4 linked regions of the Drosophila melanogaster genome follow. The protein of the gene in region 1 interacts with the protein of each later gene in a pairwise test. Each region holds a gene or a part of one and is shown in the gene's direction. Other genes may lie near its edges. The genes, in order: Hn, CG32428, TfAP-2 and Map60.

Region 1 (7,562 bases):
TTATTTATTTGAATTACATTGATTTTTAATGCATTAATTTTACAGCTTCGTTAAATGATATTCCCGAAATCACCCCCGCAATAGATAACAATTTATCTTTTCAATACGACGATACCTGCTGGACTCCTCCGAGGATTAAAAATGCTAAGGCATCCGTCAAACTTCGCCGAAATGGGGAACATGTCTTTCTTGTGACCTATTATTCCTGCCGCGTCAACTACAAACTCAAACGTGCCAAAGATAATGCACTCTATTGCTCAAATGGTATATGGCTTGGTTTGAAACCCAATTGCATAAAGATTGGTAAAGGAAACACGCATTCAATGAAGCAAAAAAAAATGGTAATGATTTTTTGGAAACTGATCTCTTGATCATAAGATACATTTATAAGTCGTCTTTATTGTAGAGATGCAGGATTGATAATGGTGGTTGCGCTCATATATGTAACAGATCAACTCATAAATGCGAATGCTATGAGGGTTATACACTGAATTCCACCGATTTAAGAAGCTGTAATGGTAGGTACACATTTTTTAATCAATATATCCTTAAGATACACTAAGCTTTATCTTCTGTTTCAGATATCGACGAGTGCAAGGAATCGAATGGCGGCTGCTCTCAAGTTTGCAACAACCTTCCTGGTGAATTCATATGCACCTGTAATAGTGGTTTTGAAATAGACGAAAGTGATGAAAAAACTTGCTTGGGTAAGTACTAAAAAAATTATGTCGAAATCTATAAGCAAAACAAAAAAATACCTATAAATTTACTTACCACCTTCTAGACATTGATGAGTGCGCTGATCCCGAACTATCGTGGGACTGTACGGCTGGATGTAAAAACCTAAATGGAACATACAAATGCCTTCCGTCACTGGTGGGCAGAGTTGAGCCCACCGACGGCGATGGTTTCTCCCCGGGTGAAATAGTGTGCAAGTCCGGATTCAAGCTGTCCGACGATGGCAGTGAGTGTCAGGACATTAACGAATGCGATTTGGCGGATATTGATTCAGATTCTTGGCGAATGACTTACCGTTACTGTGAGCACAAATGCGAGAATACGGTAGGTTCCTATATCTGCCATTGCCCCCAAGGATATCATCTACTCGATGATCAAAATAGTTGTATTTTGGATGGCTCCAAATTACCGCCATCGAAAGACGCGCCTGTCAGTCAGGAAGCACCAAGAAAGGATATATGCCCTTTGTTTAAGGGACCAGCCAACGGAAAGGCTTCTTGCGATAAGTATCTCCAAAATGGCTTCAACTACACTCGTTGCAATATTACCTGCAACGCGGGTTATATCATGCAGGGCTCACAATTTGCGGTTTGTGGACACACCGGACTTTGGTCTAGTCCAGAAGCCAAGTGCGTGGGTAAGTACACATCAATGTACAATGTACAAACAATTTAAGTTAGTGCTATAGGATTTTATAAGACACATTATGTATTTGCTATTGCATCCTATTTCTAGAATCCCTCGCATTGAGTTGTCCAGTTTTGACACCCCCTCGCAATGGACGTTTCTATCCTGCAAGCTGCAATAATGAACCATCCAAATCACTCGCGATTTGTGAACTGTTATGTGATCGAGGCTATTTGCCCAGAATGGACACACAGCTCATTTGTGCGGCACCATGGGGCTGGATCCAAAGAAGATGGCAGGACAATGTGCCACAATATGTGTTTCAGCAATCAGTAAGACTGAGTAACCTAACTATAACACATATTTACATTTTACCTTTACGCATTTAATTTTTTAGGTGAAACAGGACGAGGGCTGCGTGAAGATCGCTCCGCCTTAACCGGATTCCACAAAGCCGTTAATTTATTTTAACATATAAAACGACAAAAAAAATAAAAATAAATTTAACCTACACTCCTGCACTGAAGCGTGCATTGATTTTGTATTGACTATCAGTCTTGGTGTGTAAAAATCAATGAAGATGTAAAACTTTTGACATGTAGAACAGATGTTTAATATTCTCCGCTGAAGACAAATCTTGTAAGCAAACGGTACAGATAGGGCTTGCTTGTTTTTCGGATGTTTAAGCATCGTCATCATAGATCACTCCCATTTCGTCTTGATTTTGGAGTGTATTGAAAGTGGATTATCAATTCGGTCTACATAAAATATTAGCCTTAATACCCTCATTGTCTTCAAAAATGACCTGATTTCTTTGCCTACTTTTGGGCCTAAATCAATGCTTTTTAGGATTGACAAAAAACATATCTAAAAATAGAAATAAGAATATTGAAACATTTTATGTCGGAAGTAAAGACATGGTATAGATATGGTTTATTGCTTTAGCTTTTGTAAGCTCTTGTAATATTACATCAGCTTAAATTTCGGGGTTATCTGTTGACGTGCTTATACCGAGTGAACTCTGAACTTGAAACAATAATAAACCTACTCATAGATTAACAATTACAAGTGGGTACCACAATGTAAGTCACCTAGACTTAAGGAAAGCGTATTACCATTTAAAAGACAAAATCCGACAAAAAGTTCGGGTGAGTGTAACGATTGGACTAATTGATTCCAGTCAATCTGATGTGGACCGCAAGTATAAAAAAAAAACCAAGAGTAGCGCGTGCCAGGCCCACTTGGAGCTATTCACTACTGAAATAATTGCCCTGAAATGCCGTTGAACTCGTTTGGTTAGAACCTGTCATTAGAAAAACACAGCCCAGATTATTCAGTATGATTTTTTGCAAAACAAAGCAAATCTAAAACTAGCTGAAATAATGTTTTGTTAATTTGGACCCCAGCAGAGGGGCGAGTCTTAGCTGATAATATTTCCAAAATACAGTGGAACATGCGAAAAGGAAGTGCTTTGGGTTCTTCAAAAGTAAGAAAACATTGTTTACGATATTATATTTTATCTATAGAAAACTGTGCCTAAGTTCCAGGAACACAGATCTATAACATTCAAAACTGGTTTTTCGAATCAGGCGTTCCTTTTTTTCGTATTTTGAATTATGGATGCTAGACTGTATTTAAGCCTCAACATTTAGATTTGATCGGCTAGACGACGGCTTCTGTAATGAAGCTGAATACTGAAATGGGATTTTAGGCCCATCGAGACACTGGGCACTGATAACCCCGCAGCCGCAGAGCCATAGCCGCGATTGGATCGCATGTGGATGCCGTTCCAAGATCATTTACTCGCCCGATTGCCCGCGATATTATTTGTATTTTTTACTGGTTTCAGTTCGGATTGATTTTCGTTTGGGCTCAGCTATGGGGCCTATCGAAAAGTCTATTTAAGCGCGCGATTCATAGAGAAATTAAATCAGTTTTAATTCGTTTGCTGAACGGATCGTTCGCCATCGGTTTTATTGTACTTATCAGTGGAGAAACCCGAGAATCTTGTGAAAATGTACCAGCGGCAGGTCTCCTTTGATAAGGTTTGTTGCTTCGGCGAGAGTCCTCTGTGCACCCGGTATAGAAAGTGATCCGTAAAATAGCTAATAAATTAAAAACAATAACAAGTTTATTATTCTGCGTTCTCAGCATGAACTTGTCCAACCTTTGAGGAAAAAAAATTCAAATAAAATATAATTTTATTATTTTGATTGAAATGAGAATGCGGATCTATAATGTATAAAACCTGTCATGGAATTGGGTTAGTTCGCAATAGTTCTAGACAAAGGAAAACAGAGTGGTGTCTGGGACTCCTAGTGGTTTATTTTATTTTCGCTCCTAAACAAGTAGTTTATTAATGTGTTTTGTAGAGTAAAACCTGAATTAAGACGTCAGGCGCATATATTGGAAGTAGAAACAGTACAGCTTAATAAGATGTCATATAAATACATTAAGAACAAATAATTCAGCCCTGTTAGAGGACCTTGTTATGGCTCAAGATCTTGCAAAGTATACTACTTGGGAGACCTTCCCACAGATACAGCACACCAAGTTCTAGGCCGAGTCCTTGGCAATATGCGCTGATTGCCATTGCGGTCGGACCTAAACCTTCAATATGGGGGTTCAAGCCAAAACACAAACAATCTCAATGATGCAGATCTGAGGCAAGTACTACAATTACAGTTCGTTGGCTCATATAAGGCTTCGGTTAAATGATTATGCGATTTGGGCCCTGGTAGCCTCTGTAATAGGAGATTTGCTGATAGACATTGCATAGTCATAAGAGCAGAGAAATATTATCTATATTAAATAGTTTGGCTTGACTGCTCGTTTAGCCCAGGTCACTCGGAGTCAATCTGTCAAATTTCCAATGATGCAATGGCTGTTTTCCCAAACAGCAAAAATATAAACCGTAAATATTTTTTAAATTACCAATGAATTTATTACAGCCAACGCGCGTAGAGGATTCGGCTTACATAGTCGAGGGTGTAGATATTAAGGAGGCCAGGAACACCTGTCTTCTGTTTTCGCCCAAGGATTCGTCGTTGTCCAGCGGAGCTTTGGCCAACATTTTGGCCATCTTCAAGAAGCATGACATAAACCTGGTGCATATTGAGTCGCGTTCCTCGCTGCGTGTTCCCGGTTATGAGTTTTTCGTGGAGGCCGATGGAAAATCGGGAGCCTTGGGAAAAGCCATCGAGGATGTGAAGGAGCAGTGTAGCTACTTTAACATCATTTCGCGTGACTACAAGGATAATGCCACGGCTGTGCCCTGGTTCCCGCGGCGTATACGCGATCTGGATCGTTTCGCCAATCAGATTCTGAGCTACGGATCGGAGCTGGATGCCGATCATCCTGGTTTTACCGATCCGGAATACCGCAAGCGTCGCAAGTACTTCGCCGACATTGCCTACAACTACAAGCATGGCGAGCCCTTGCCCCATGTGGATTACACCAAGGAGGAGATCGAGACCTGGGGCATTATCTTCAGGAATCTTACGAAGCTGTATAAGACACATGCCTGTCGCGAGTACAACCACGTCTTTCCCTTGCTGGTGGACAACTGTGGATTCCGAGAGGATAACATTCCCCAGCTGGAGGATGTGTCCAACTTTTTGAGGGGTTAGTTCGATTACTGCCCATTAGATAGAATTCGTAACATTAAATTGCTGCACTTCAGATTGCACAGGTTTCACTCTGCGTCCAGTGGCTGGACTACTCAGCTCTCGGGATTTCCTGGCTGGACTGGCCTTCCGCGTCTTCCACTCCACTCAGTATATCCGACATCCCAGCAAGCCCATGTACACACCGGAACCAGATGTCTGCCACGAGCTGATGGGCCACGTGCCGCTTTTTGCAGATCCAGCTTTTGCCCAATTCAGTCAGGAGATCGGGCTAGCTTCCCTGGGAGCACCCGATGATTACATTGAGAAATTGTCCACCGTAAGTGGCTCTTTGCTCTAGGCTAACAAAGGATAACTGTGTGATGCGTGAATTCTTTCTTTCAGATCTTCTGGTTCACTGTTGAGTACGGCGTGTGCCGCCAGGAGGGTGAGTTGAAGGCGTACGGAGCTGGTCTGCTGTCCTCCTACGGGGAACTGGAGTATTGCCTCACGGACAAGCCGCAGCTGAAGGACTTTGAGCCGGAGGTCACTGGCGTCACCAAGTATCCCATTACTCAGTTCCAGCCTCTGTACTATGTGGCCGATAGTTTCGAAACCGCCAAGGAGAAGACCATGTAAGTTACTAGGCCTAAACATATCTAACGAAAGTGTTAAATAACTTGAATTACTTTTAGTAAATTTGCGAACTCGATTCCCCGACCCTTTGGTGTTCGCTACAATGCCTATACTCAGAGTGTTGAGGTTCTCGACTCGAAGCCCCAGATTTCGAATCTGATGGACAACATTAACTCCGAGTTCCAGATTCTTCAGAATGCCGTTGCCAAGCTGCGCGTCTGAGTAGAATTCATATACATTTTTTACTCCCTCTCTTTACTTACTATTAAGAATGAATCAAATAATAAATAACATGCAATTATGTAAGTTTTTGTAACTGTTTTTTGTTTTGCTTTATTACAACTCTGTATCGATAATGTTCTGGTTTTTTTTTTTGGTTTGGTTAGCATGTTCAATTACATTTTGTTGTTAAGCTCTTTTGAAAAACATATAAACAGTTATGTACAAAATGGGTCTACATTATCCTCATCGTATTTACAGGCTTAAGCAAGTTCTAACGACTCGTCCTATAGGTATGTACAAATCTTAAACATTGAGCTAACTAAAATTATTAAGGTAGTTGTAGTTGAGTTTAAGATAGTTTGTTTCCATTTACAAGTTCTAAGTTTAAAGCATTTGGCTCTTTATCAGCTGCAGATCGAAGCATATTCGAACGAACTTTTCCAACAGTAAAATGGTAATGCAGGGGAAATTGTAATAATGATTGAACTAATGGCATTTCAGCTGTCAGAAAAGATCGGGCCTAAAGAAAACTTATGGGAATATCTTCACAGCAAAATAAATGTCAGTTGCAATCTCAACCTGAGTTATGAGTTATACATACATAATAACACTAAATCGTACGATAAATATCATTTTTGACCTCAATGACGAAGCCCAGTCTTGAAAATAATATGGAATTGAATTAGCTTTGCTCAACTCGTTTGCTTGTTAGTCGCTTCTCAGTATATTAGAATACAAATAACTTAGGATTAGGTTTTAAGGTTCGATTTCGTATCAGAGATCCTTGTTTGCGCCTCGATGGCACTTACTGGATAAGGCTAACCTATGGAAACGATGGGTTCTTGCTACAAACTACAACAATTTAGAACCTACTTACAATGGATTTTTTTTTTTTGAGACCTTTTCTATAGTACACCTATGTTTATGTTATATACAACGCATAATGGGAGCGGGGTGGGACAATACTCAGTCTGTTGAGATCTACAACTAGCTCTGGGCTTCCGATAGATGAGGTTCGATAAAGAGAGCCAGAGGCCAAACTTGATAATACACGGATATGTGGTTATATGGGTTGCCTGGAGTTATACAATTCTATCTTTTCCTATCGCTACAGAGTGTTATATACAGTGGGTATACGCTATTGACTACTGCCTGGGGCTGTGTGTGGCGAGTTGAATAGATTCTGTGATTGCTCTTGGGACATCTGGTATGGCAATATTTCCAGATCGTTTGGCAATTGGTTTTGATTCTGATTCTGACTGTTGAGAAAGGGATTCGAACTGAAGAAGCTATTTGACTGCTGTTGATGCTGCTGCAGGATTTGTTGTTGTTGCTGCTGCTGCTGTTGCTGCTGCACCAGATTGCTGCCGGAAGTGTGCATCATCTTGTTGTCCTCGCTCTGCGTTTCGGAGCCATCATCGCTGATGCCCATGTGAAAGTTGATCGAAGGACTCGATTCGGTGGCCATCTGCATGCAGGACAACAGCGAGTCCTCGTTATTATTTTGCGGAGGATTTGAACTGCGATTGTTGTTGTTCTGGTTGCCATTATTCAGATTACTGCCTCCATTGTAGCTTTGATTGTTGTTATTGCTGCTGGAGTTGAAGGGATTAATGGTGGATTGCGAGCCCAATGAGTGCAGGGGGGACAGATTGAGAAAGGCGTCTATATCATCGATATCCTCACGCAGTAAAATATCATTTTGTTGTTGCAGCTGCAACTGTTGCTGCTGCT
Region 2 (8,707 bases), about 13 Mb from region 1:
CGTTATCGTCGGGCGTATGCCATACACTGGGAAAGGGCACCGGAATGAGGTGCAAGATCGGCACATTTCGCCGCAGGAAGGGTATGTGATCGTCCTCGATGAAAGAGGATCGCATGGCCTGCGACTGGAAGTAGCGGGTGGGGTCGCGCTGGGCAACTCCACTGCTGGCATAGCGCTCCAGGAGCTGCAACTTGGCAAGACGTGTCTCCACGGACTGGATACGCATGTACCAGGACTCGGTGTTTTCGAAGAAGCTGTAGAATGCCGGATCGGGGGCTCCCAACAGATCCAGGAGCACCAGCATATCTATTCTATCAAGTTTTCCTTCATGGTGCCACTTTTTGGCCAGGTGTCGTGCTCCATAGATGGAGTCCTTGGGTCCCCACTCCTCAAAAGCCTCCTCGCCATCGAAGAACAAGAGCATCAAACTCAGTTTGCTCTTCTTGAGGGGTTTCAACTGCTCCTGAAGCACCTGGGCCAGGTTGAGGAGCATGGCACAGGGCACTGCCGAGTCGGTGGCCCCCAGGAATTCCACTCCAGGCATGTATTTGCTATCATAATGGCAGGACAGCACCAGATATCTCTCAGCATTTGGATTCAGGGTGGCGATGATGTTGTGGAAATGCAATTTGCCTTTGATGGGAGCGTGATCATGAAAGCTGTTTACTTCCACATCCCAGTCTAGATCCCTCAAACTCTGGACGATGTATTCGCGAACGATGCTATGATTTGTTGTGCCCACAACTCGAGGTATAAGGATTTTGTCAATGGCTTCCCTTAGGTGTAGCTTATCGGATAGATTGCTGTACTCCAGGAATCGGGGCTCGGAGAGCTCGCTGGGATTGTAGGATATCTGTTTGAATTAAAAGAAAGCACATATTAAGCAGGCGGTTGGTTTAGCTGCATTACCCTCCATTGACCTGTGTTCTTCCTACGAGATTATCCTTCTGGGAAGTGGATCCCCTCACCAAGGTGGCTATCAAAGCTGTCTGCACGCACAGCGTCCACATTCTAGCTGTTCGATGTAGCATATTTAACCGACTGACTTAAGACTACGTGGCTGAGTGTTTTTGTTCGGCGGTGGGAGTGTTGTGTCCCAACAGGTGGTTGCAATCAATAGCGGCAGGTTCGTAAGAAGTTTAAAGATTGGTCATCCGGCTGCGCAACTATTTTGCGGCACACTCCGGCTTGTACTTAAGACCCTTTGGCGAGTCTATTAAATTATCATTTTGGCCAGTTTTTACGGCCGACTTGTAAGGCACAAAATAACAAAAATGGGCGTCGCAAAGGGGGTCAAAATGCTAACGAAAATAACACTGTCTATAGGTAACGCTCGTTGTGGGTGTCTATTTGTTTCCCATCAGTAATTTATTGCACTCCTCTCAAAAATCATTTAATTTCCTTGTTTACTAATTCAACCAAAATCGTTTTGTTTACGCGTATTATTTAAACAGCTGCTTGCCATTTGTATCAGGTGGCAGCACCAGTCCCGAACAGGTGGCACCCCCATAAAAACAGGTCACGGGCGTGTCTAGATTTAATGAGCAGGGGTCTTAAGCAATGGTTACACGAAATATTCAGTTCACTAGCCATTCTCTTCTTACAAAATAATAAAATGACTAATTTGTGCTTCAATCAAAAAGAAAACATATAATATAAAATTCAAAAACATAAAATTAATTTATCAATATAATAAAATCCCCGAAGTCAGTATACTTTATACAGAACTCCCCTTTCAAGCAGAGAGTACAAATAAATGTATGTTTTAGTTAACCTTAGGAATATCCACCAGTTCGAAGCAAGCGCCTAGATTGTAGATTTTTTTGCGCGGTCTCGGCAGCAATCTTTTGACGGCCTCCATTAGGGAATAATTTCTGAGTAGCAGACGCATTTCACTTATGCATGTATATTTTTAATACAAATTATGCACACAGAACACTACACAACACAACACGTTTTCCACGCTGTTATCGAAACTTATGCAATGAAAAGCGATTACACACGGTTTACAGGCGACTTTCTCCTCCCTCGCTGGCATGTAAACAATTGTATCTATATATGTAGCATGTATGTATGTACAAGAGTGCTCTACCGACTTAAAGTTAATGGAAATAGGGTAACAGTCCGGGGTAGATGAGGATTAGTCCGTTTTGGAGCCCTTGGAACCGGGTGCCCCAAAGTAGGCCCTGTATATATAGAGTCCCAGGGCGATGTGCAATGCAACGACCGCTCCCACGGCGGATGCTATGTTCACTTTGACTTCGGAAATGTCGAGGAACTGGTCCAGAACGAAGCCCTTCAGCACAAAGAAGGTCAGCACGGGCAGGAAAACGATAAGCATGCAGTAGAAGAGCACTGTCTTGAAGGAGCTGTAGTCCTGCGAGTCCTGGGCATCCAAAATAAACAAGGGATTAGCTAGCCGGCAATCGGAGCCGTCATGTTACATACGTGCGACTGCTGGCGGGTTTGTTTCGGCGCAACTCCGTTGCCTCCGGCGGCTTTCTTGTTCTTGGTCGACATCTTTTCAGTTAAATAGAATGCAGCTTAATTGAAAAATCAGCAATTTCTCTCAATTTCTAGTTTTGCTTTGGTCTGCCATTCGGTTATCAGAAATATTTGACAAATCACAAATCACATGATAAAGTGGTAGTACCGTGCCAGCATTCAAAATATACCAGAAAATACTGCGACTAGTCGATTAATCGTTGGTATCGTTGCTATCGAAATATTTTCAACTAAATTCTCATTTTTTAATTCATTTTAATTGAGTAAAAAGTTAAAATTATATCAAAATAAAAGAGAAGTATTGAAGCTATTTCTTTAGGTATACAAAATGAAGTGTCATATTTGTTCAAGTAACATATTGTACGCTGTTTCGCGATTTTCGATAATTATAAATATAAATATATATAAATTATAAGTTTCCATGACTTCCAATGAGATTCATAAGATCTGCACTATTTTTGCAACCACAGCTGTCTTTTCGCAACTTCTTCGGTATTTTTCTCCAGGGTCGCACGCCTTATTGCGACACCAGCAGTGTGGTCACACTGGAGCGAAAGGAAAACAAAAGAGCAATCGTGAATCGAAAGGCGCACGCGGCAAAATGTAAAACTTGCTTATTGGTTTATTTTTAACAGTTGCCGTCACCGCATTTACAGTCGCATTTCGGCCGAATGCTCGCGCGCCCCGCTTGCGTGTGTTAATTGAATTATTTCATCCATTTTAGCAACTGCTGCGTATTTTCGGCGCTTATTAAGCCGACAGAGCCATCAAAATCCATACTGCATACAAATACGATTTCAATTAGGGGAAAAATACGCGCCTGCAGTTCGCCGCACGATTTCGTACAGTACAGTACGGACGCAGAGGAGCGTTTTTTCCGAATTTACTGTACTTGCTTTTCGGTTTTTTTGGGGAAATTCCACTGCAGCTGGCGCGCGATGGTTTTGACGAACTTCGAGTGCTGGGCACATGGTGATCCGTCGTCGTCGGCGGCCGCCACTTTCGAAACTGGAGCGCTGCGTCCTTCGATGGATCCGTTCAATCCACGCGCCGTCACCTTCATGACCGACGCCAACAACAACAACAACAACAATGATGGCAATAACCTCGCGGCACAACCGATGCCGGTCGTCCTGCCTCCGGAAGTCCTGCGCTGCAAGAAGCGCCTGAATCCCGGTCACAATCCTGTCGGGGATTTGGACACGGACCAACCGGTGTACACCAAGAGATGTCGCTACGACGAGTCTGACTTGGCCGCCCAGTACTGCAATGGTGAGTATCGCTGCTCAAAAATGCAAGCTTAGTTATTTAATTATTAAATTGTTTAAGGCAGTTTTATATTAGGCTTACTTAGCAATTGCACATGCAATAATTCCAATAAATAAATTTGTTGTCGAGCAGCCTTTAAATATTAAATATCCTCATTAGTTTCAGAAAACACTCAGAAATATATTATTATGTTATACTCAATCCTTTAAGAGTAATGGTTGCATTTTTTAGTGTCTCAAACCATTTTGAACTTAAATTTAACACTTGCAATGAAATTCAAATTATACTTGAACCAAATATGATATTAATTTAACTTTAAATGAGTATTGAAGGCATTTTTGTTGGTATGAATTTAAAAACCGGAACACACCAGACGACTTAAGCTGTAATTTTGTTTATAATCTCTCGACCTTGGCTCTTATGCCCGCGCATTTAATTGGTGTTGCGTGAAAGTGTCGTAAAACTTGTAAATTTACACAATTATCTCTGACCTTGCGGCCCCATTTCTTCTCCCATTGGCTCTCCCAGCGACCTGTGTTATCACTGTTCAGTTATTCGGTGGGATCCGGACTATCTGTGGCATACAGAGGGTACCGGACTCGAAACGATAGCACTTGACAGCCGCTTAAATTTAGCAAAGAAAAACCGGCTTGACTCAGTCTTTATAGACATACATATGCATATATGTATATCGGTGTGTTTGGCCTACTAAACAAAACACACAAGTAGTGGGGATTAACTGGAGGTACTGCGGAGATGACTATGTACACTGGGTCAACAGAGTGTTACGATTCTTCTTACACCGCCAGTTTAATCAATCTGCATTCGCAAAAGTGTTCCAACAATAGAAGAAAACAAAGGGGGAAGGCAGTGTGGGCGTAAATATATACAGCCGGTAAAAGAAATGTGTATATCTGCGGGAGTGAATCAATAATCTATACTCTTTCTGAGGGTATAAACGCTTCTTAAATGTTTTTAAGTGATTTCAATGATATGTACGAATATTTCATTTAGTTTTGTCCACGATTTACTTAAATATATATCTCAATTTTTTTGATCTATATTAATATTTTTAAAAGGGGTACAAAATAATAGAAATACAATTTTAAATGTTTTCTATTGGAATAAATATACATATGTATTTTTGCAACTATGACTACACTTAATTAGTTGTTGTTAATCTGTGCACTCCGTTTTGCCTTCGTTACCTTATAGTTTCCGATTGCGTTGATAAGGTTATCAGCACAAACAAAAAGCAGAAAAAAAGAAACTAACTCGTAGATAAGAAATGACAACACACTGCTCTGCTCCGAATTGGTTATAAATAAACGATCGGTAATTGGGCCAAGCATCGATAGTGTCAACGTGTTGCGTTGCATTGCCGTTGCACTGAGAAAAATCGGAATAGACTTCAGTTTGTACATACAATTATAATAAATTGTAAATTATTTTATATAAGTTAATGTAACTTAATGATCGGTTTATTGCCTTGCAGATTTCTTTTCCTTGCCTGCCACACAAATAATTGGAACGCAGGCCTCTTTGATGGATTACGAGATGCAGGCCACCGGCGGCATGATGATGATGGAATCGGAGACGAGTTTTCCAGCGCAGCAGCAGCAACATCAAGAGCAACAGCAACATCCACAGCAGCCACATCAATATCAGCGCATTCATCAGCATTATCAAGGTCATTTGCATCGCGCCAACCGTGATGTGAGTCGTTGCATGATGTCGCACATGATTTAGGGGCCCTCGTTCACACAAAACTCAAAATGTACATATATAACCCAAAACATGTACTGTAGCTGAGAAAAGCGCACAAGAAACACATGCAACAGTTCACCGAGCGACGCGTCTCTCTTTATTTGCTAAACAGCCGACAATGTATCGAAAAATGTTCGCATATCACTCAGAAAGCAAATTAACGCAAAGGAGCAATTGAATTGAAAATATCCGCAATGCACATACCTACCATATACCAAAAATTCAAATTTTGTAAAAAAAAAAAACAATCAGCTAACGACTCAGCCAATAAGTATTCTGTATAAATTGTTAAACTCACGAACTATTGTACAAACAACAGCTAAGTCGAACATCGAACATAAACTGTACTTAACTACCTAAAGAATTGAAATACGTAATTAATTTCAAAAAGTAATAGTTAGACCTGCGAAACATTGCAATCACAAAAAAGCAAGCAATATATGTTAAGTGAAATGTTCAATCAGCCTGGAGCGATTGCTGGGAGCCTTCACAAAGTGAATTTAATATGTGAAGTTGGCTGATACGCAACCATAGTCGTAAATTTATTTCTAAGGTATACTTTACCATTAGTTCAAATCGTTATCAACATATGCTTTAGGTATATTGATGACTTAGTAGCTTAAGACCGCGGTGAGTGCTTATATCTTTTGTATCAATTTTTACACTCACATATATTTGCAATAAACTTAACAGCTACCACCGATCTTTATATAAATTCTGTTATACTTAAATTTTTTTTATATACTTTATTTTTTCTATTTTATTCGAAGTTTAAGTTAATGAAGTCAGCCAACTTTTAAAGAGCACTTTGTGGAAGATCCAAACAGCAAACGCGAAAGGCCAAGTTAGTGACCCAAATTGATAGACAAATCTCCAATCTGCTCGTTTACAGAATCCGCAGAGCAACGAGTGCCGTCCCCGCAGCAAAAGTCAAGAAAATCTAATAATTCTATTGGGAAAATCAAATTAAAGTCCATAGGCAGCGAAGCCGAAGCGGACTTGTATATAGCCACACACGGCGGCAGTCTGCACCACTTTTGTGGGCTCGGCGGATCGGAGCTAGAGGAGTCTGATATATGATAAAGTAACTCCGAGCAAGAATTGTACATCCTAGCCTAAGTTGTAATATAAGCTGTCGCAAACTAAAGGTGCTTACCAATAGTATTTGAGTTCGAATAAACCAAAAGCTATCGTGCGAAACTCACATCAATAATCGAAAGTATTTCCATGTGCTGAAGAACTTTAAGATCACAATTCTTCAAGATGAAATGAACCAATAGTTTTCCTTTCCAATAAATGCCTTACTGTATTTTAAAAGGTAAAATGTTACAGTGGTTTGTGTTGCTATTCACTAGATAAATGCAGTGTTAAATGCGATTGGATTTCATTACTTAGCAATACTAGATGCGGTTGTTCGATCCACGTCTTAGATCTGCAGAGTCTGCTGCTCCGGCTGAACATTAATGTAGTTATCCTGCACGTCCTTGATCATGAAGTCCACCAGGTTGGACAGGTCGTACTTGTGCTGCCAGTGCCAGTCGCGCCGCGCATCGGAGTCATCGAATACCTGCGGCCAGGCGTCTGCGATCAACTGGCGGCTATCTGGCTTGTAGGTCACGTGCAGATTGGGCACGTGCTTGCCCAGCTGGGCGAACAGCTCCTCGGGAGTGAAGGACATGGCGGTCACGTTGTAGACGCGGCGCTTCAGCTGTTCGTTGGGAGCACGCATGAACTCGAGGAGAGCCCTAGTTAGATGGGTCATTAGTAACAAAGAAATAGTTTGTTACAATGCACTTATTACTCACCGCAAACAATCTTCAATGTACATCATGGGCAGTCTTGTGTCAGGACGCAGGTAGCAGGTGTACTTTCCATTGCGCAGCGCTTCATGGAACACGGCCACAGCGTAATCTAAAAGTTGAAACAAATAACAAATGTGAAATGTTAAAGCAGGACTTGTTTTTGGTACATTATAAATTTGTATAAAGCTGCAGAAATGATTCGATTCACGGTGCGTATACGTGATTTCATAAGAATGCAATGGCATTAAAACAAATTAGCTTTCCCCAAAGTGTAATAAGCATTATTATTCCATTCATGAGTGAAAGCAATGCAGAGTAGTTGAGACTTAGACAATCTTTAAGTTAATCAGTTCAATCAAAGATAAGTTAATATGGGTCACCAGGTTTGCGGCTCCCCAACAAAACCCTCTGCATTTTGTACGAATTATGGCCATTGTCATGCTCTTTGATTATCATAAACTATCTTCAATTGGAGCATTTATGATACGAAATTGGATTAAATAAAGCTTGAAGTGCGCTCGACGACATGACTTCAGCGGGAAGAGTATCTCGCAGATATTTCCACGCAGATTGATGTGCTTGAGTCTCCACAGAAATGTACGGTGCTTAAATACCTGTGGTGCCGCCGCCCGGCGGATCACTGGAAATCACTCCTGGGAAGCGCAGGCATCTGAAGTCCAGTCCAAACTTGTGGTAGTAGTATTCGCCAATCAGCTCGGCGTGCACCTTGGAAACGCCGTAAATGGTGCGCGGCCGTTGGATCTGCGGAAATGGGTCCTCAGTATCGAACAAACTTCTGGCTTTGAAAGTGGTGGACCTACCGTAACATTCGGCGTGGGATTGCGAGGACTGTCGGGACCGAAGGCTCCGATTGTGCTTGGTACGAAGATGCGGAGCTTATACTGCTTCGCCAGCTCGATGACGTTGTGGACACCCTCGATGTTGACCCTGCGATGGAGGATTCATATTACTTACGATTAAAATGGCACAAGAGTCATTATGCAATAGTTACGTGGGAGTAGTTACTTGACTTTAGTTACTTGGAAAGGAATGTAGGATAGGGTTTGCTATAATGATTGCAACTAGAGATAACTAAGATATCCTACCTCACAGCCAGTGGAACATTTTGCTCTCCCACCGCACTCAGCAGGGCCGAGAAATGGATCAGCCAGTCAATGCGATGGTCCACAACGATCTTCTGGAGACCCTTGAAGTCCAGGATGTCGGCAAAAATGTAGGGACCATTCTCCAGTACCGACTGACTGGGCTTTATAATGTCCGAGAGGATCACGTTTTGGCTGCCATACTGCGTCCGCAGGAGTTTGGCGCACTCGATGCCCAACTGGCCCAAGCCACCTGAAAGA
Region 3 (7,191 bases), about 14 Mb from region 1:
GCAGTAGTCATGCAAGTCCTGCGGCATTCACGAGTTTCCCCCCGGCGATCGCATTTAAGACGCATCTTAAATGAGGTGCTCAGGCCGAGTCCTCCACTCTTGGGCAGTTGCGATCCCCAGCTCCTCGGCTCTTGGGTTAGGAGCCTCCCGGTTAAGAGCCAGCTTATGACTGGCTCAAAGAAAGCTGCCATTTTCGGGAGTGCACTGGTATGGGTTGGGATGTGGATGTGGATGAGGACGTGGATGTAATTGTGGCTGCAATGGTGTAGGTGTGCGGGTCGGTAGTTGGTAGTTGCACAGAGGTGTACTTGGGTGCATTTACCATGGGCACACGGACCACTGTGCATCACGATTTATGCCCGGTGCTGCGGGGAGGACTGGGAATTAATTGGTAATGCGAGCAGTGCATCAGTATCAGTATCCGTATCAGTATCGGTTTTGGCTTTGCCTCGGCATCCGAATCGGGTCTGAAAATGGCGGACCGATCATCGATCGATCGATCGATGGATGGATGGATCGATCGATCGTTCTCTTGTCGTGGCCGCAATCAAAAGTCGTGCCGCCGCAATGAAATCGCTGAAATGGAGGTGGGTCGTCCGGCATTCCACCGCCGCAATTGGATAATGCACCTGATCGCCGCTTCCACTCCACTGCACTCCACTCCACGAAATTTACTGTTTGGCCAGCTCCTCCGAGGTGGCTTCGTGAGTGGCTCCGCGTACATAATGTGCATGTGCAGTCGGCGAGATCACGGTTTCACATCTCATTTCGCCCTGCCACAAATTCGGACTTAATGACTGCGTGCCCGATATACTTTTCCTCCGAGCTTCGCTCCTTCTTTCTCGGCTGAACTTTGCTCTGCTCCCCTGGCAACAGAAGATAGGAGCCCGAATCCATTTGAGTCACTTAGAAAGCTAATGGCATAATTCAATTGGGGCGGACAAACATTCAAAGCTCGGGTTGGGCAATCCGCCGAGTGATTCAATTTTCCACAGCCGCTAATCCTTGTCCCGCTTACTGGCGGATCTAATTGTGTAACCTGAAAACAAAGCAGGAATAAATGAAATGAATGTCTCTTGAGGATTGCGACGCTTACTTTCAGCTTTTCAGCGTGGTTAATAGAACAAGGAATTCAAATGATGGAGATTCATACAGAACACCACGTTGATACTAAAGATTTATTCCTGGTGCTCAAGACTTATCTAAGTCAGCGCCTTTTTAACCCAACTTTCACACTTTAACCAACTTTGTTGATTTCTATGGCCTACTAACACATGTAACTTATAAAAAGGTCTGCTGGTCTAAACGGTGGCAATGGTTGTATTTTATGTTAATTGATTAAACTTTTTTTGCAAAGTCCATATTTTTGGATAGTTTGACACAAAACAATATTGACGAATAAGAATTTTCAGTATGTTTCATTACCTTATTGCTATATTCATGAGTTTGAGTAATGAACTAAAGTTTGCAAAAAGTATTTCGATGCCTTAACAATATCATATAATCGATTTTCTTGCCATCCAAAATTTTTCCTTATTTTCATCTCTATTACTATATTTTTATGGCTTCGCATATGAAAAGTCGTTGACTTTTGTTATTATTATAATTGTTTCATGAAGTACTTATAAAAATCTAACAAATAATTGACTAATTAGTTAACTATCAATATTTAATTTTAAAAAACATCAGAATGGGTAACTTCTATAGCTCTGAAGTTAGTGAAACATAATAGTGTTCCTGATTTGAAGTTGTGAAGCACCTGTCCTTAAATTAATTTTCTGATTTGTTTCGATTTTTTTAATTATAATCGTTGTAAAACTAACTATACTATTTAGATAAAGGTTATTAAAGCGGGACACAAGTAAGAAGTTTGCTTGTTATAAGTTCATTGGCAAGCCAAAATAGTTTGTTTATAGTGAACCTTTAATTTTAAAGAGTGCTTTAATTGTCCTAAGTTCCTCTATCGTGTTATATATAAAAGGGAATTTGTAAATTAGAAATCTTTAAGCATGCGAAGTGGCCTGCTGTTGATTTTCCGTTTGTTTAATCGTTTACAAAAATTTTACCCTCAAATGTTCGAAAGCTACAGCCATAGAAAAAATAAAAATCTGCTATTTTCAGTTTGTTTTGATTATGGCGAGCAAGGACCCACACTCACGCCCTTACATATATGGGTAGATTTTTATGTAGAATATGTAAATCGGGCGGACAGCCTCTTTCACATGGCAACCCCCGAACGTTCGATAAGTACGTAGATACATACATACATAGGTGGGTCGCTTAATCCCCGAGAGAAGAAAGAACCCGGAGCACGTACCACTGGCGATTTGGGCGTCCAATGCCGGGGTTTTCCCAGTAGCAGCCCGGGCTCAGAGATCCAGCAACCCTCGGGGCACGGGTGCGTCGCCAACCCCGGCCATTCGCATGCGATTCCACCCCTATGTATTCGTATTCGTATCCGTATCGCACTCGCATCTCGCGAGCATCCGCATCTGGCAGTGTGGCTGTGTATCCGCATCTGTGTGTCTGTACGCGAGCTGCGCTGCCTGCCGCAGCCTCTGGGTTTTCGGTTTTCGGGCTCGGCCCATTGTCTAGTAGTCCGCTGGCGGGGCGTGGCTTCCGAAATATAAATGGCTGTGCTCTCTTTGGGCGGCGGGCTCTCTTCGGAAGCCGCTCTTCGATGCCCGAAAGCCAGAAAACCTGCTTGCCCGGCGTATCTGTGTGCGCCTCACACCCATACAGACGCGCGGCGCACGGGCATAGGCTTTGGGCACTTTTCCTATGTATTTCGCAGCTGTATGGGAGAAAAAACGGCAGCAGCCGCGGCAGCAGCAGCATCTGCAGCAGCAGCAGCAGCAGCCGCCGCCGCAGCAGCAGCGGCAACATCGCACATCCCCCGAAGGTTTTTGCGTCCAACCAGAAAATCCAACTTCAGTCGAGAACTACGTCTGGTGGCTGCGCAAAGGCGGAATTTCGATTGCGGGTCCTCGCTTAATTAACCAAACCAAACCAAACCGAACCGTACCGAACCAAAACCGTACCGAAACCGCTCCGTTCCGTTCCGAACCGATCCGCACCTAGCCGAACCGAAACGATCGTGGATCCGAACTGCAAATTAGTTCAAATACAATTAAATCACGTCTATTGTCCTTCAATCGGGGAGAGTGCAGTGTATATAGCGGCGGATACGGAACTCTAGCTCCAGCACCCACAGTTGCCTTAACCAGTGCCAAAAATCGATTTTCAATAAATACTTATTTAGTGATCGTACCTGTTTTGCATTGGCCCTGGCCCAAGTGTTCAAAAGAAAACCTATGCTCTCCAACTAGTTGATATCGCCGTCTAATTTGGATCAACATGCACATTCTACACCGCACCAACGACCATCAGTTCGAGGATCAGAAGTTCATGATGGTAAGCTGCGCGCCTTTTGCAGGATACTTCGATCGGAGGAGGGTCGGGTCTATCTATCCAAATTGTCTGTCAGCCGAAATCTGCCCAGGCTAATCCCCGCCCGAGCATCGGCGCAGCTTTAGCTACTCAAAATACTCAAAGATATTGAACCATCGAGTGCCCATGGGCGGACGAGCTTGATTGACACTGAAATTTCTTTGGGCATTTTGGGGCACGCAAGCCTTAAAACCATTGGCCAATTACGACCATTGGCCAGCGATCCGGACCGAGAGATCTGCGCCCGTGATTCACATTCACACACAAGCTGATTACCATTCCGGGCCATTCTAGCAGCAAAATCAATGAGCAATTTACAGTAATGGGTTCTCCTGCGACTCCGTGTGGCACACTCTGCTCTGGGAATAATAAGTACATAAACTTCAACCTGATTGTGCCCACTCCAAGAGTCCGGGGATCACTCAAGTGCCCAAGAGGGTGTGGGGCCCCGAAAGCAGACTGCGATCACAGGCGCATGCAATTCTCTTGTAATTAGAGGTCTTAAACCTTGAAAATGCATCTTCAAATTTAAATTGACTTTTTAAAGTAGGCAGTCTTAAACCTCAAGGAGTCTATTTAAAAATTTTATTAAAGTCAGGATCTAAAACCTGAATACAAACGGTGTTTGTTTATGGTAATCAGACATTCAAGAAGTCAGTTTGCTTTTTTTGTTATCCTAGTCGAGATGCATTGGACACAAATGGACCAAATCGAAATCAAATGTGCATATTCGTATTCAGATTAGGTAATGTTCGATCAGTATCAAAGTATTAATTTTAGTTTCCCAGTATCCTTATAGGTTTTCTTGGGCTGAAAACTCTTTACTAAATGCAATTCTCTATTCAAATATTATAGGGCGACAAGACTAAAGAATATAAAATCTTATTGAAAAAGCCAATGGGTCTGTTAACTTATTTTATTTACTTGTAATTGAGAAACATACCCTTAAAGGATGCAATGTTAGTTGCACTCATTTTTAATTTTATTCTGTTTTTTGAACGGGCAATTTGGAATCATTTATTTTTTAAGACGGCAAAAGTAGCCGTCGGAAAGACGAACCTTAAAACTGTAGCTAGCATATGTATATGTATGTGTATGAAGTCCACTGTTTTTAGAGTAATGATTCTTGAAATCTTTTTAATCTTCTTTTAAATTTCATATACAAATTTATCGTACAATATTTACAGTCTTTGATCGTTTATAATATCTATAACTGTAAATGTAAATCCAAGAGAGAAAGCCATGTTATGCTTTCTATGTTATTTCGATTAAAGTCTCTATAAGATTTGTACTCTTAGTATTAGTATTTGTATCATCAGACATAAGCCTCAAATTAAGCGGTTTGGCTGTTTCAAATATGTGCGTTATGGGAGGGAAACCGTATCTGAAAGTAAAAAAGGTCCTACATTTAATGCACTCACGATTTCGAGGCAGAGAGCAAAAAGTGACGGCGGTGGGAGTGATCAGACGTCAGTGGTCAAAATTCAAATGCGAATATGGAGGAATTCTTGAAATGCGTGGGTACACGCTCCCCCATTTAATTAGCGAAATTATATGGTGTTCTTGCTTCCAAGAACTTTTTCGATGCCCGATAAAAAAATAGGGCAATTTGCGGGGCAAGGGCCAAAGATCAAAACAAAAACACAGCGAAGAGGTAGACCAAAAGTCATCGCCCACAAAAATCCGAGTCCCGCCAGCAAAGTGGGCATGTCGAGTGTGTTGGCATTAGCTTTGGTTTTGGTTTGGTTTGGTTTGGCTGGTCCTGGTACTGGTCCTGGACCTGTCCCTGGCACTCCGAAGACTCCCAAATCAGGTAAGATCCCACTGGGACACTCGCGTGATGCGTTGCCAAAATAATTTATGAGATTGAAGCGCAACGCATCGTCAATTTGCGTGCGATCGCCAACTAAAAAAAGAATGCCATACAGACTGGCAGAAAAGTTCCCATAGCCCAGCTCCCAAATATCAAAAAGTATTCAGCATTGGGCTTATTTATTAGCCAAACTCCGTTTCATCCAAGAGGTTCGGGCTCAAAGCCTGATTGATGGCTTCCCTTATGATTTATTGAATAATTTCTTTATAATTTAGAATAATTGTTCCAATTTACAATGTGCACTTTGTAGGATTGCGAGGCATGTTGGTATGGTAATTGTGCGCAGGGCTAGGGATTGCATAAAGAAATGAATAAGCGCCATTAAACTTTCCCCCACTTCCAGATGCAGGAATACTATAGTCTTGATTAAAAGTAAATTATATAAATGGAACTAGAGGAAACTCGCAATAAGATGAATGAAACAATTTCGATAGGATCAGAGTGTAAGACCGATCCGTGTTCATATTTGCATATTCGCATATCATATTTATTATTTCGCCAGTGCGGGCGAGATAATTCCGAGTCCTTTGCATCCGCTGGAAGGCATTTCCGCTTCCACAGACATGCAGATACATCCTCGGAGGAAACTGGAATTGCATATGCACGCATCAAAATTGATTTCATTTGCGGAGAGGAAATTAAAAAGTCCAAACAAAACCAAATTGATTGGCAAGATAAATGTAAATGTTCATAACGTGGCCAAGATCCTCAGCACAATCCAGAATCAAGTGTCGGAACCTCGACGATGTGGACGGCGTGTGTTAGGCTCGTGGCAAACCAAAACCAAAACCAAAGCCGTGCAAAGCACCACATCCACATCCTCGTCCGATGCCAAAAGCCAAGGCAAGAGCGAAATCATCGGTTGGCCGACATGCGTTGGCCTTGCCTCCTCGGAGGCAGAATGTGGAGGATGGGGAGGCCAGACCTGCAGTTGGCTCACGAGGCTGCTGCATCGAAAGCCGGCCCTTTGGACGCAGATTGCAAACGGACGAGCCGAGCTTAGCTCAGTCGAGTTCGGAAGAAGCTACACAGGGAGAATCATTGGGTTGTGAGGAGCTCAAAAGGAGATCACAATGCCAGTGCATGTGGAGTTCTTGTAATCATAGTTTCCAATATTTCTTGTTTATCTTATAATAGTATAATATAGTATTAAAAAGCAATACATATATGTAAGTTTATCGCATGGTCATATTTCAATTTGCAGAACGAAGTAACCTTAGTCCTATGTATAATTAGTAGTGAATACTATATACGGAGATTCATGTAACATATCGTATAATTTGCATACTATACAGCAGCCCATAAACAAAGTGGTTCTCTTACAACACTCTCGACCTTTTCTCGCAGTGCACATGCATGGTCGCCAAGTGGGCACTTTCGGCTCGTCGTTCTTCTATTCGTCATCTGCACGCTAGAAGATGGGACGCAGCTTTTCGATTTTGGCCGAGCAGGCTCCGCAAATACCCAGCAGGTTTAATACATTTATGAATGGGTTTTACTACTTCATTAAGGGCTCCTCCGCTCTTCCGCGCATTTGAGGGCCAAGGAGCTGGAGCTGGAGCTCGAGCCGAAGGAAGAGACTGAGGATCCAGCCGAGCTCCAGCTCTGCGGATTGGAGCGCGTGCGCAGCCAGGAGGAGGAGGAGGACGAGCAGGGCAGGAGTACCTGCAAGAATCGTAATAAGCAGAAATCGATTATCGTCCGCTGAACATTTCCATTGTTGTTATGAATATTATATGCAGCGTTTGGAGCGAAGCTTCCTCTTAAATTCGTTTAATTTATAGCTCTTCCGACAGTTCCAACTTGCAGTTCCAATAAATGACAGCACCGGACGTCGAACGAGTGTGTAATCTAATTGGAAACGAGCG
Region 4 (6,689 bases), on another chromosome or scaffold:
TATGCCAGCACCTCCTTGACTAAGAGCCATTTGCTCCACCTGCCCATCTATCAGCCTGCTTGATAGAGAGTAATTGCCATTACTCCACTTCCAAAGCTCCACCGCTCTGGGAGTACGAAGTAGAATGGTCATATCATCTGAATCAGCGACCGGCAACAACTGTTTTACGGCCCGCCTGGGCAAGATTGCTTCCCTGCTGTTGTTCTGCTCATCTAGGCATCGGATTACTATCTGGTTCTCCTCTTGAAGTGCCCGGCACTGAAATCCATATGATCTGAATTGCAGTTTCTGCGGGTTCTGTGCCTCCTCATTGATTGGATTCAAGTTTGTCTTGTTTAGTTGTGTCAGTGCTGTGCCTACAAAAAGGAAAGCAGTGTTTTATAGATGTGTCCGTGGAATACTCTTCCTATAATTCCACTCCAAATATAGGCTATACGGATAGGACTTTATCGATATTAATAGGTGGTTTTTTGCCTATATCTTAATCTATGTTGAAACATTTTCAAGTTTTAAAATATTGCTTAAACCAATTTGAAAATGTGTACGACTCTTTTAGAGGGTATATCAAAACAACAGATAAGAAAGCAAAACAGTGAGGTTAGACTGCTAGCATTTAAAAGCAGAACTCGACCATTTTCCGGCAGAACAGGGACAGATTGTGATACACCAAGACTTCTCGTAGAGACCATTACGATTAACCATGAGAAGGCACTTGCGGGCAAGTCTTTGGATCCTTTGTTTGGCCACCATGGCGTTTTCCATCCTTGCGGCAGTAAATACTTCGCCCAAACCAACGCTGACTTCGGCGTTTAGGTGAGCAGCGCATACAGCGTATTCTTTGTTCGCTAAGATCCGCCCCTTTGCAGTGGAAAAGCTGGCACCACTGCCGTGAAGGCGAATAAGACGACGGGTGAGCTGCTGCCCATGGTCATTAACACTTGGAACTTCACGGCTGCCAATGTGCTCGCCTGGCGAATCCTGAAGCAAAGCAAGGGTGGACTCCGGCAGACGCGGAATGCGGTAGTGGAGGGCTGCTCGAAGTGTGAGAAACTCCAGTGTGACCGAACGGTGGGCTATGGCGGATCGCCGGACGAGTTGGGCGAAACCACACTGGATGCCATGGTCATGGACGGGGCCACCATGGATGTGGGGGCAGTGGCTGGTCTGCGACGCATTAAGGATGCCATTAAGGTAGCCCGGCATGTTCTGGAACACACGCAGCACACCATGCTGGTGGGTGATGCGGCGTCAGCTTTCGCCAATGCTATGGGATTCGAATCAGAGTCGCTGGTCACGCCGGAGTCGAAGGACATGTGGTTACAGTGGACGGCTGAGAACTGCCAGCCAAACTTCTGGAAGAACGTTCACCCGGATCCCAAGGTCTCTTGCGGCCCGTATAAGCCGCGGCCGACTCCGCTGACCCGCTGGAAGGAGGACCGTGCCCGCAATGAGTATGAGATCGGACGCAAGAACCACGATACCATCGGCATGATCGCCATCGACGTGGAAAGCAACATCCACGCCGGCACCTCCACCAACGGGGCGCGGCACAAGATTCCCGGACGGGTCGGCGACTCCCCCATTCCGGGTGCTGGCGCTTATGCAGACAACGAGGTGGGTGCAGCCGTGGCAACCGGAGATGGAGATGTGATGATGCGCTTCCTGCCCTCCCTGCTAGCGGTGGAGACCATGCGGGCGGGAAAACCTCCGGCTGAGGCAGCTCAAGAGGGCCTTCGCCGCATTCTCAAGCACCACAAGGATTTCATGGGTGCTCTCATCGCCGTAGATCGGCTGGGTAATTATGGCGCTGCCTGCTACGGCCTGGCCGAATTCCCCTTTATGGTTAGCAGTCCAGCCGGAGCGGATGGGCCTACGCGCTTGGAAACGGTCAAATGCATAGGTGGTCAGGACAAAGTAAATATCGTGGCGTTGTGAGGTGGCGAAAACTGTAACGTATTTCAATAAAATTTAAATTTCGTGGAGTTCTCATCTGCAATATAAATTGCGTTATTTGTTTGTCCCTATCGGCAGCAAGATAGACGGGTAGTTTTACCGTAAATTAGCGGTATTAAGAATTATCGATATGTAAGGATCCTTACATAAAATAAATAAATAAAGTATGAGAATAGAATAGAAAAAGACAAAACAAAAACCATTCCTTCGATAGTTATGACTACCAAAATGAATAACTTTTCCTTATGGAGAAACATTATAATTGTTATATAAGTAAAAATAATGCAAGTATTAATATTTATAGTGATAAATATAATATATAAAAATTTAATTTTCACTGCATCGAGAGCTGTGAACTGTGAACATCTATGTTGCCAAAATCTCCCTCATCCCTAAGTTACTGTACCAAAAGGCGGCATTTCTAGTATTTGCGTGTTGCACGGTCACATTTTCCGCCAATTTACCGACGCCAAATACAGAAGAAAAGAGAAGCGAACGGTGCGAAAGCGGAGAGAAAAACAAGCGGATCCTAGTTACATATACCAATTCGTGTGTCGCGTGTTATCAAAACAGCCTCCAAAATTATCAGGAACGCGCAACCAGCGGGCCGCAAGTCGCTGACTAAGATGGCAATCCAACTGGACAAGATTCTGCAGGACATCGCCAAAGAAAAGGTGCTGCATCCAAACAATGGCGGCGCCAGCAAGCAGGAGCAGGAGGAGGCGTGGGCCAGGATCGGGCGTCTCAACAAGCTCTCTGTGCACGAATCGCGCTCCATCTTCATAGTGCTCCAAAAGAAGTACGAGCAGGAAAAGCTAAAGGGCAATTCGGCGTGGAAGCTCTTCAGTCTGATGCATCAGATCCATCAGGAGCCTAAAATCTCAATCAAGGAGGAGAAGTAAGTGGCGTAAATAGTCCTCTAACCGTGAAACACTAACAAAATTTCTACTGCTATTCTGCAGTGATCAAGTACCCATGGAGGAGGTGGAGGAGTACGAAATGCTGGAGGTGCAGGAGCCTGAGGACGAGGATGACGCCCATCAGTACGGACAGCACACCAACTCTACCGGCTCGGCGTCCTCCGACGGCGAAAGCCCCACAAAGTCACACAGCACCGGTTCGCCAGAAAAGGACGAGCGGTTGGCGTACGCCAAACCCAACGTCGACACTCCTCGCCCAGCCATCGAGGAGAAAAAGCTGCTCAACACACTGGCTAACAACACACCGCGAAGTAGCTCGCTGTCCGCCGCCGCAGCAGTACTGCAAAAGAAGGGAATTACTGTGAAGAAGACGCCCAGCTCCGCAGCAGCACCGAAACCGGCTATTGGGCAACAGGCGCCAGCCAGTGGGCAAAGATCAAGCTCCTCGCGCACCACCATTCAGCTGCCAGATTCTTTGAAGCGCAAACTTTCGGAGGAGTACACCTCGTCATCGGCGCAAAAAAAGCAGACCAAGACCACGAGCCCGAAACAAGCCGCTTCATCGGCAGCCGCAACTTCAGTGCACACCAGCGTTCCAGATCAACTGCCGGCGGGAAACAATGTGGTGCACACAACCACTGCCCAGCTGATGCAGGTTAAGAAGGAGCGTGAGGACAACCAGACACCACCGCCGGGTATCAACATCATCACCATTCCATCGGCACAACAGATAAACGGTGGTGGTGGGGGAGCGAACTCATCGACAGCCGCCACCATTGCTTCCACCTCGGTGGCTTCCACAAACGGCTTTTCGCCACACATCGACGAGCTGGACTTTAAGAATGACATTATCTTCGGGCCGAAGATCAACGCCGCCTCCTCCAATACACCCGAGATTATCAACCTGGGCAACTTTGACAACTCGCTGCCGCCAACCTTTTTCAAGAATCTATGCAACTCGTCGCGACACGAGTCTCTCGGGCTGTACGTGGCCAATGTGATGAACAGACTCTCTTCGCGTGCCTCCGCCAAGCTGGAGCTGTCCATCTTGCGCGCCATCCTCGATGTGCAGAGCGACGAACTGGAGCAGTAGACCGACTGATACTCGCAATTTAAATGATTACTCAGCTTACTTATTAGACAAACTAAAAAGGTAGTTATGTAGTAGGCCTGTCTGAACCATTTCTCGTATTTATCGTATTATTTTTTCCGTGTTCAAACGTCTGCGTTCTGTGCCGCCCACTTGTAAAATGTATTTACTCACAGTTCTGGTATGAGTGTTCATAGCATTTACGCATGAATTTTAAAGCTAAATTTAAAATGTATTTCTAATATTTGAGATTTCGAATTTGTCCCTATTTAAGGTTGAATATGCTACTTGATTTTAAAATACGTTTATATGCAAATAAATCTACATAACTTACTTGAACTTCGCCCAAAAAGATGTATATCCGGTTGCCATGTGTAAGTAGTCCCTACTTCGCTGGGCATCTGCTCCCAGATGGCCAGTACGTCCTCGTTGTCCACGGAGATGATCTTCATGTGCGAGGCCTTATGAGGTAATTTCTGCAGCACAGCAAAGCCTTCCAGCACTTTAGGCGGCTCTGTTGGTTGAATTTAATGCACATGACTAAAGGAGAATTTGTATTAATGTGTTTTTAACATACTGGCCAATCTGTTTTTAATAGCTGCCACATTTTCCTGCAGCTGCTGCCAATCATGAATGTCATTCGATTCGACACCCCGCTTTTTCTTGTAATATTTATCCAGCAGCCCATTTCCGTTGCCCGCTTCGTAGTGACCCACAGTGAGGGGCTGGGTGAAGATCAGTTGGCTTTCCACGTGAAGATTGGGACGGTTTTCTGCCTTGCTGACCAGTAACTCGTTAACGGGCAGATCGTTGACGAAATCCACCCAGAGATTCTTCACATTATTGCTCATAACTCGCTTCTGTTCGGGAAGACTATTCGCCACCAGCAGGGAGCCCGGTATATCCTGCTCATTGTCCATCAAAATGAGCTTGTCCGCCTGCCAGGGGACACCATTTACAGACCCGTTCACGGTAAGATCGTTGTAGAGATTGACATTATTCAGATGAGTAATGCCAGAAATACTGTGGTTCCCGTAAAGGTAGGCTGCTCCATGGATCCACTTGGCCACAGGCACATCCGCCACCTGGCTTTCAGGGGTTGTATGGAGACGATTTATAGTGCCGCCCTGGACAGTTTTCAATGCTTCGACTATCAAGGGAAGATTGATACTGTCATTTTGAAGAGGCATTCTAACGACATCATTAGCAAGGTTTAAATTATTTATGTAAATATCGTTTAGATTTCCCGAAATAAAGGCCTCAGGCAGTTTCCAATATCCACTTATAGCGTGAGAGCCGGCTGTTTTCAACGAGTGAGTTACAAAATCATCAAAATCTAGGGAGAAGTTGCTAAGAAATGAAAAAGATTTATTTTAATATAGTATTAACCATTTGGTAGCATGGTATTCCTCACAAAATTCCAGGCGAGAGTAAAGCCATGTATAAATTTAAAAAATGTTTTATAGAGTAGTACTTATATTTATGATCCGAAAATGATTTATAATTAATCTTTTAATCCCAAGTTCTATAAATTCGATTTATATTTAAATTCAACGATTATTGTAGAGATCGATAATAGTTGTGAAAACATCGATATACCGATGCTTCTGCCATCCCCAGCTGCCAGGCGTTTGGGATTCTAGCGAAGACGTTTTTGTTGTTTCAAATCACAAACCTCTGCTCTGCCGAAACTGCCCGACCGTAAAAAGTGCATTTAACCAAACCCAATCAGCGACCAATTGACAAGGTAATTAAGCACACCTGCGAGTGTTCGAATTAAGTGCAACCCCCGCCCCGCGCTACGTACAAACGTGTACAGAAATTTCACCTGCCAAACGGAATGCACAGCTGACTTCTGCGGATGCAGTGACTCTAAAACTGTTAGCGCGTAAACAATTGCGAAAGTGAAACGTGATACCAACTTTACCCCTGTTCATTGCCCCCTGCCCCTTGATCATTTGGTCAATTTCACTTACCTACTGGTGCCCTCCATTAAAACGCCGCTGCTGCCACGTCGTAGTTTTACGTATTTGGCAACTGGAGGCTGTGCGAACGTGACGTCATGCTGGAAGCTCAGGGGAGTTTTCAGCAGATTGCTACGCGTCCGGCTGAAGTAGTTGTGAGTTATATGATCCACTTGGTGCCCGTTGATGGGTCCCTATGGGGAAAGGTGTTCTTGTAAACAACATAGGTTTCTACTGTGCAATACCCACTCACCTGGAATTCCAGCAGGCCTTCGAATTGCCCAGATTCCAGTTTTATTTCTCTCAACTCAATCTGCTCGTTGTCCAGCCACACCTGATCAAGAAGGTTTCCTAGATTGTGGCCATTCAGGAGCTGATAAGAGGGTTCTCCGCCAAACTTAACATTCTCCGCCACAAAGGTGCGCACATTTTGCCCACTTAAATAGATCTCCAACGCCTCCAGAGGATAACCATTCAGGTTGGTTATGTTGGACAATTTTAAAGCCTCCAGGTCACCATCTACGCTAACGGGAGCAGAGATGTAAGCTCCACCATTATGGTAAATAACGTCCTCTGGGACGCGGAGTCCATTTAAGCGATCCAACTGTAGCTCCGATTGCAACACAATGGGATTCGCTGAAAGGTAATGTTGTTATAATTGATAACGTGTAGCCGTTCTTATAAAACCCACCAAATCGCACTGATTGCAGGTGCTCCGGTGAGTTGAGCCTGTAGCTACGGTTCTCCAGATCTTGCAAGGTG

The links.
Region 2: the proteins of Hn (region 1) and CG32428 interact in a two-hybrid assay, tested with the Drosophila melanogaster proteins (one large-scale study listed by BioGRID).
Region 3: the proteins of Hn (region 1) and TfAP-2 interact in a two-hybrid assay, tested with the Drosophila melanogaster proteins (one large-scale study listed by BioGRID).
Region 4: the proteins of Hn (region 1) and Map60 interact in a two-hybrid assay, tested with the Drosophila melanogaster proteins (one large-scale study listed by BioGRID).

The regions. Positions count from the first base shown.
Region 1 is NT_037436.4:7,757,247-7,764,808, forward strand, and holds Hn (henna), read left to right. Parts: upstream 1-3,206; 5' UTR 3,207-3,380; coding exon 3,381-3,410; intron 3,411-3,737; exon of another isoform or gene 3,738-4,031; intron 4,032-4,120; exon of another isoform or gene 4,121-4,301; coding exon of another isoform or gene 4,302-4,316; coding exon 4,317-4,989; intron 4,990-5,047; coding exon 5,048-5,310; intron 5,311-5,375; coding exon 5,376-5,605; intron 5,606-5,665; coding exon 5,666-5,828; 3' UTR 5,829-5,920; downstream 5,921-7,562. Other genes in the region: CG32373 (uncharacterized protein), read left to right, coding at 46-341, 407-518, 582-707, 785-1,375, 1,474-1,697, 1,763-1,804; Clk (clock), read right to left, coding at 6,967-7,562.
Region 2 is NT_037436.4:20,467,711-20,476,417, reverse strand, and holds CG32428 (uncharacterized protein), read left to right. Parts: upstream 1-3,045; 5' UTR 3,046-3,443; coding exon 3,444-3,777; intron 3,778-5,269; coding exon 5,270-5,464; coding exon of another isoform or gene 5,465-5,523; exon of another isoform or gene 5,524-6,395; intron 6,396-6,433; coding exon 6,434-6,621; 3' UTR 6,622-6,744; downstream 6,745-8,707. Other genes in the region: isoQC (iso glutaminyl cyclase), read right to left, coding at 1-853, 1,775-1,891; CG5969 (uncharacterized protein), read right to left, coding at 2,141-2,386, 2,449-2,520; Tdh (L-threonine dehydrogenase), read right to left, coding at 6,968-7,286, 7,347-7,452, 7,958-8,105, 8,165-8,291, 8,450-8,699.
Region 3 is NT_037436.4:21,595,925-21,603,115, forward strand, and holds the start of TfAP-2 (transcription factor AP-2), read left to right. Parts: upstream 1-2,931; 5' UTR 2,932-3,357; coding exon 3,358-3,414; intron 3,415-7,191.
Region 4 is NT_033778.4:9,588,450-9,595,138, forward strand, and holds Map60 (Microtubule-associated protein 60), read left to right. Parts: upstream 1-2,417; 5' UTR 2,418-2,579; coding exon 2,580-2,851; intron 2,852-2,915; coding exon 2,916-3,966; 3' UTR 3,967-4,295; downstream 4,296-6,689. Other genes in the region: clos (closca), read right to left, coding at 1-356, 4,298-4,477, 4,541-5,313, 5,940-6,121, 6,181-6,563, 6,619-6,689; CG1827 (uncharacterized protein), read left to right, coding at 701-813, 867-1,935.